2 linked regions of the Xenopus tropicalis genome follow. The protein of the gene in region 1 interacts with the protein of each later gene in a pairwise test. Links are inferred from orthologs where the notes say so. Each region holds a gene or a part of one and is shown on either strand. Other genes may lie near its edges.

Region 1 (3,828 bases):
ACATGCCTTCCTAATTGCATACTGAAATGCCTTGGGTACATCTAATAAACAACAATTCCTTAGCACCCGTGGCATCTAAGGCACATAGGCATTCTTTATTACATTCTTTTGTGTCATGATATTGTCAGTGACAGGATCTCATGGTTCAGTTTTTTATTTGATCACTGTAACAGTGAGTAAAAAATTAACCACTGGGCAGCAGGGGCAGGCCAAGCCGACCAGGAGCCCTAGGCAACCTGGTTGGCTACCACACCTCTGCAATGCCTTCACGGTGGCGGGGCAATGACAATCGGCAGGGGCAATGACAAGGGAGCGCGGAATAGGGGTAGCCACAAAAGGTACTTGCCTGGTGCCCCCCATCATTGTGCCCTAGGCAAGTGCCTCTTCTGCCTACCCCTTAGTTCCAGCTGTGTACGGCGGTCATAATTCCGGCCCACTCTGGTTTCCCAGTGCCACTTGTGTCATGCAAGGCAACTAGTAACACAAGTGGTGGGTTTGCTGTAACTGACATTGCAACGTGCAAATGATAGAGGCCTTCCTGGGGCCCCAGCAGTAAATAATTTGGGAGTTGTGAGACCACACCCCATCCTTATTTATTTGAAGACGTTGGCGGCACAAGACATATTTCATGATGGAGGAGGAATTTCCAGTCATGTGTAAGGCTTGCAGGTTGGCATTACAATTAAGCTTTAGGCTGTTTACCTGTTAGCAAGCTGGATCCCGCTCAGAGTGGTTGATCCATCTCTACTGACAAACAGTCTTAGGTGACTATCTAGAAGGAGACACAGTATGCAGCATTATACACAATCCTGTTCTAAATATTACACCAAAGAACAGACAACAAAGCCAAAAACAAAAGGATGCAGATTTTGTGGCATCAGAGGAGTCACGTATATATATGTATATGGTTATGATCAATTGTTTGTTTCTTGCTGAAAAAGAATGGGAAGTTGGGATTAAACTGTGACTGTTAAAAGCTTTCAGGTCATATTGGGTTGGTTAAAGAGCTAACTGTGGCAACAGGGCAGGGATATGTGTTTTCATTATGTTTCTCTTTGCCCTGTATAACAAATATTTACTTTCTCTGACCTATATCTGTGAAACTTTGGGACTCACATAAATGCAAATCCCTGTAAACCCCCCTGAGCTAAAGCTGTAAAACACCATAATATGGCAAATAAAGCTCATACTCCTGGGGGCTTAGATTTCTGCATTGTTCATATACCACAGCAGATCAGGCACAGAGGTTAAACTTGTCATAAGAGACAGGAGGTAGACAAGGCAAGGTTCTGCGGCAACAAAAATGCCACTTTGTCTAACTTCCTTCAGCAATAATGAGGATTCAACCTCTGTACCCAGCGCAGGAGAAGGGACTAGAACAACAAAGAGCACAGAGGCCAAAATTAAGAAAGCCTTGCTACACTAATCATGCCAGGATCCATCATATCCTACACAAACCAGAACATTCCTGGAGTCTGCAGAATTGTGTACCCAAGCCCTTGTGCATTGCACTCCTTTGCTCCCTGACTGCTGAGGAATTCTCAAAGCTGCTGATATAGCTCTCTTCTTTTACCTTCGTTGTTGCTGACGTCTGTGAAGTCTTGACTCTGCATGATCTTCTCCACAATGTCATCAGCATCAATCCTGGTGTCATCTACCCACGTGGGCCGACTCTCTACAGAGTCTTTCTTCCTCCTAAGGACAGGACAAAGCATACGGACACTTGGGTAAGGCAAAAGGCAGAATATCCAAGGCTATTGTGATACTAATATCTACAGTTAGTATTAGTGGTTGTATATATAGTTTATGTGTGTGAGTGTATAGATTGGTAGGTGTGGGTTGTGTGTGCTGGGTTTACTTGGAAGGGTTGAACTTGATGGACTCTGGTCTTTTTTCAACCCTATGTAACTATGTAAAAGCTTGTGCCAAGTGATTGTGCTGCTGGCATACCATGGAAGACAGCATCTTACTGACATAACACAAACTGATAAAACACCTTGTGAAACCTGCAAAGAGGTTAGGCCATAATCTCTCAGATGTGAGTGAATGAGCCAAGGGAGAGGGTGCCAGTGTTATATCATTCCCAAAATTGGCTGCAAGCATTGCCCCTGACTAGGGCAATATGTGAACACATAATAAAAATGTTAAGTACACAGAAGCCCAAACAGCCCCCCATCAGCCCACTAAATAGTGACTGTCTATGGCATCTTACAGCAGCCCCTCTGGCATTTGCCAGAATCCACAGATTGCCAGTACGGGCCTGGATATTAATCTTGTTTTCCTTTGTCCCCTAAATCAACGGTTTATTCTAGCTAATGAAATATCTGATACGATTTGGATATTCGTAAGGATACTGTGATCCCTCCAGACTCTCATTGAAGCAGGCAGCCATTAGCATGAGGCTAATCTGCAGTCCTTTGGTGCCTAGCTGGGTACATTGCAACTGTGAAAGCTCTTAAATAAATGAGCAGGTGTATTATAAGACAGTTGCCTGCTCAGCGCTTGTCCCATTCCATAAACTACTCCAGGACATGCACACCTAATAATTTTTCAGTGAAGGGAGAGGAGGCTGAGCAGAGAGCGGTCATGCTGTTCAGTGGAATCTCTTCCTTGTAACTTGGAATAACAACAAATTCCACCAGTACAAGCCAAGTAAGGAAATCACGGGTTGTTCTGTGTCACTAAGCACTGGATCCAGACTTCAGAGAGAAATGAGCAAGAGGTTCCAGTGTGCTTCGGGTGCAGCTGAGTCACATCATTTATTCCATGGCAGTAGCTCCGAGGCACAGCATGAAACTAACGGCTCTGTCACAAACTTGACATTTAAAAGGCAGAGGGGTATTTTTGTGGCTTTTGAATTACAAAGCAAATGCATGGTAAATGTTATGAGCATACATCGTCTGCACAGAAAGTCATTACTTCCAAGTGTTTGCGCCATACACATCCCAGTCAGTGGGAGAATACTGGCACTATTTGCCTTTGCAGCATGCCTACCATTTGTTATTTGGCCACTACTGTGCTGGCCCACACAACAACAATGCAGGGAGGCTCAGAGAGACTGGAACAAGTAACAACCCATCTGTTTGACTTAAAGAAACAGTAATACTAAAAAATGAATGTGTATAAAAGTAATTACAATATAATGTACTGTTACCCTGCGCTGGTACAACTGGTGTGTTTGCCTCAGAAAGACTACTATAGTTTAGTAAACAAAGCTGCTGTGTAGCTATGGGGGCAGCCATTCAAAGGAGAAAAGGCACAGGTTCCATAGCAGATAAGCATTATATTCTACAGAGCTTATCTGTTATCTGCTATGTAACCTGTGCCTTTTCTCCTTTTTTTCCAGCTTGAATGGCTGCCCACATGGCTACACAGCAGGGTATTTATATAAACTAAAGTAGTGTTACTGTAGCAAACACAGCAGTTTTACCAGTGCAGGGCAGCAGTACATTACATTTGAATTATTTTAACACCATAAAATGAAATCGTTTTACTGTTCCTTTAAGACACAGTATTCCACAATGAGTCAACGATAGACATCACTGCTATAGCACGTACCCTAAACAAGGTTCAGTCAGATAACACACTGCCTGTGGAATTATTCTACCAGTGCCTGACATCTCTCACCTAGTGATGTGGCCCATGGCCTACAGTGCTCCCTAAGGCTGATGTCCATCAGAGAAAAGCTAAGGGTGCCAAGTTCCAAAAATCACCCCTGCTGCCTTTTATGGGAAAATCCATAACTATTATTAGATATGAGATATTGCAGCACAATACTGGATGCCGCTTATTGCAGGGAGCCTTTCACACAGCACAATGGTTGCAGGA
Region 2 (3,828 bases), on another chromosome or scaffold:
AATTAGGCAACCAGACCCTCCAAGTGCCCTGGCCTAGGCTCCCACTAGCAATATTTATTTCCCCTTACATCCCTCCGGGATCGGGTCTGCTGCCAGTTTGCCAATGTGCAATGAGCGTGGGGTAGTATTCATATTGTTTTTGTTGATCCTCTTCTCCGCTTACAGAGCTAGTTTACTGTTTTTCTTTGAAATAAATATTGAAAAACATATACCCCACTGATGCCTCAATTAATGTAATTTTATTGGTATTTATTTTGATTATTAAAACTTAGCAGTAGCTGCTGCATTTCCCACATTAGGCTTATACTCGAGTCAATAAGTTTTTCCAGTTTTCTTAGGTAAAATTAGGTACCTCGGCTTATATTCGGATCAGCTTATACTCGAGCTAGTTCACAATGCATTGCACTGTGATGTTCAGGGAATTGTGGGATTGGGAGGATGCAGGCTGAAGGCAGGCTGAGGACAGTCAACTACTGTAACATTTTTTTTTAACTTTTCAAAAAACTGTTGTGTTTCAGTGGAGTTCCCCTTTAAAAAAGTCTAAAAACGTTTGATTTTGTGAGACTTGGCCAAGGTGTCCCTCCCATGTTTCCACATGTTACCTCAATCTGTATTTTATCCATGGACTGACTCACCTTTCACCAAGAACTGTATTTGTTCCACCCAGTCTCTGGCATCGGATGGGCTGGCAGCAGTAAACTGTAAGACAATAAAACTCAGCAGTTTTTATTACTTGTACAATTTAGGGATTCTGGAAGTGAAAAAAGGCTCATTTACAACTGGTACAGGCACAAGTTCTGGACTGCTAAGGGGTGCAAAACTGCATCATTTACTGCCAATACTTGTCCCTGTACAATTGGTGCAGAGCGCAGCACCCAATGACACAAGAAAACATTGGGCTTGTTCCCTATCATAAGTGAGTATAAAATAAAGGACACCCTAAGCCCGTGTCCCCAGGAGCTCCCCACTGTGCTGAATGATGTGCATGTTAACAGAATTCCCAGGGTTGCCCATCTCAGCAGAAGGCAGGCCGCAATGCATTGATACACACTTCAGGGCACTAAATTGGACTGGGGCAAGGAGCAATAAATCAGGCCACTTTGCTCCCAACTTTGCACTAGGCTCCGTACCTGGTAAATGAGTTGGTCTCTTACCTGGAAAACCTGTTGGTTTGGTGTCACAACTTCAAAACAACTGTCACGCCGGGAGTCTTTGCGAATGTAAGGCATCATTTGTGCTAGAGAATCTTTAATGAGGAAACCATTTTTGGGCTGCTTCCCTGCAATAACCAAGAGTGATAGTCGGTGGCATTCTAAACCGTCCATCAGTGACCAAAGCAAACGTTCTCTTGGCATTACTTAAACTTACATTAGCCCCCATATACCCCATTTCTGTTTACCTTTCTCTGAGATTGATGACTCTACGGGGCAGGGACCTCCTTCCCACTGTGTCTCATACCACATGGCACTTACTCCCTGTGTATTTATACTTATTTATTGTATTTATTATAACACTTGTCCTCCCTGTGTGTAATTCTGTATATTGTAAGATTGTACAGCGCTGCGTATCCTTGTGGCGCTTTATAAATAAAGTTATACACACATACATACCTTTCTCACTAGAATAATATAGGAAGGCTCTCGTTGTGAGCACACACCACCTCTTCTGCCACTCCGATCCAAAAAAGCCATGATCTAGAAAAAAAAAAAGAAAGGCAAGCCACAATGAATATATCACACAAGGCTAACTAAAGGGAAACGTTACAACAATCAGAATATTTTTTTTTAGCCCTGAATGACTTTTGCAGGTAAAATAGCTGGGATCTTATACCCTAAACAATGAGGGTCTCTATAAAAATATATTGCATAAAAAAGCTCAGATGTAAAACCTGCTTCATCTAAATAAACCATTTTCATAAGAATATACTTTTTTAGTAGTATGTGCCATTGGGTAATCCTAAATAGGAATTATACGATTCATGGTGCACACAAACAAGCCAAGGCACACATACATGTTAGGTCACATCAGCCAATGAGTTCTGCCTTTTGCTCCCACACTACTTCCTGTTACAGAGCTGCATTATTTCCTGTCAGCTGATCTCTGAGGGAGCACACAGCCCATCACAAAATGGCGGCTCAAGGGAAAGGATATAAAAGGGCAATATTTACTAATAAATATTTTCCAGTTTGGCAAGATTCTTTAATAGGTCACTTAATATAATATAAACTATTTGTAGGATAAGTATTCATTCTGGGGGTATACGTTCTATTTTCCTTTCTCTACAGGATCCGCAGAGAATCAAGAACCAGTTTTTCCATGCTTCGCTCCACATTCCTATTCATAATGATTATCTTTAGTAAGCATCAGAAACCTGGCTACAGGGCGAAATCATACATGGCAATTACAGGAGAGCACGAGGATTAAAGTGCACTTCAAGTATTCCCGAAGAAAGTACATCAGGTCAATATAGATTTTTTAAATGCAGCAGTTGTATTCTGTGTATCAAACAAAACAAGTATTATGATATACGATCTTATTGGCATCGGGGGAAAAGAAACATTATATGAACATTTATCATGAGGCTCCAAAGACCATAACACTTGTGGCAAGGCCGTCTACAGAAGGATACATGATGGGGCAAAGGATTTACAGACAGACCCTCAATATTACAGGACTCAATACCTGGAGAAGACCTCATGTATTGTTAGTTGTACTTAGATGTGTGTGTTTGTGTAATGTATTGTTGGTCTTCTGAAAATCCATTCCCTACTGAATCCCAATGCCTTCTGTTAGTGAGGCAAGACAGAGATAGATAGATAGATAGATAGATAGATAGATAGATAGATAGATAGATAGATAGATAGATAGCCAGGCCGATAGAAAGATAGACAGACAGATACAAAGATAGATAAGATAGGTAAATAGATAGATAGATGATAGATATATCGATAGATAGATGATAGATAGATAGAGAGAGAGAGAGAGAGAGAGTGGTCCTACAACAGTATGAAGACCCCTGAAGCAGCCACATTACCTTTCTTTCTCCTCTCGAGATAGCCAGATAGCCAGGCAGATAGAAAGATAGACAGACAGATACATAGATAGATGATAGATAGATGATAGATAGATAGGTAGATGATAGATAGACAGATAGACAGATACATAGATAGATAAGATAGGTAAATAGATACATAGATAGATGATAGATAGATAATATATATATATATATATATATATATATATATATATAGAGAGAGAGAGAGAGAGAGAGAGAGAGAGAGAGAGAGAGAGAGAGAGTGGTCCTACAACAGTATGAAGACCCCTGAAGCAGCCACATTACCTTTCTTTCTCCTCTTGAGATAGCCAGATAGCCAGGCAGATAGAAAGATAGACAGACAGATACATAGATGATAGATAGATAGATAGATAGATAGATAGATAGCCAGGCAGATAGATAGAAAGATAGACAGACAGATACATAGATGATAGATAGATAGATAGATAATAGATAGAGATAGATAGATAGAGAGAGAGAGAGATAGTGGTCCTACAACAGTATGAAGACCCCTAAAGCAGCCACATTACCTTTCTTTCTCCTCTCGAGATAGCCCTGTTTAAAGATTTTATCCAGTTCTTCTTCAACTTCAGAGTCTTTTGAAAAAAAAAAAAAAAGAGTGGAAATTATTTATTACAGAAGGTAATTGACAAGAATGGAGAACAAAATATACACAGTACAGTACAGTGCCCAAGGTGGATGGTTGCATAGTAGATGGGCATGGGCAGAGTATGGCATAATAGCACCCAGGAAGGCTGAGGTGCACAGCAGAT

What was found.
Region 2: the proteins of fam102a (region 1) and skap1 interact in binary tests that used the Homo sapiens proteins (3 or more experiments, as listed by UniProt). The two-hybrid records come from large-scale screens. The link is inferred for Xenopus tropicalis from reciprocal best matches to the Homo sapiens genes EEIG1 and SKAP1.

The regions. Positions count from the first base shown.
Region 1 is NC_030684.2:25,542,789-25,546,616, reverse strand, and holds part of fam102a (protein FAM102A), read right to left. Parts: intron 1,696-3,828; coding exon 1,574-1,695; intron 773-1,573; coding exon 703-772; intron 1-702. UniProt on the Homo sapiens protein: Key component of TNFSF11/RANKL- and TNF-induced osteoclastogenesis pathways, thereby mediates bone resorption in pathological bone loss conditions.
Region 2 is NC_030686.2:11,787,510-11,791,337, forward strand, and holds part of skap1 (src kinase-associated phosphoprotein 1), read right to left. Parts: intron 3,652-3,828; coding exon 3,586-3,651; intron 1,695-3,585; coding exon 1,611-1,694; intron 1,280-1,610; coding exon 1,155-1,279; intron 700-1,154; coding exon 636-699; intron 1-635. UniProt on the Homo sapiens protein: Positively regulates T-cell receptor signaling by enhancing the MAP kinase pathway. Required for optimal conjugation between T-cells and antigen-presenting cells by promoting the clustering of integrin ITGAL on the surface of T-cells.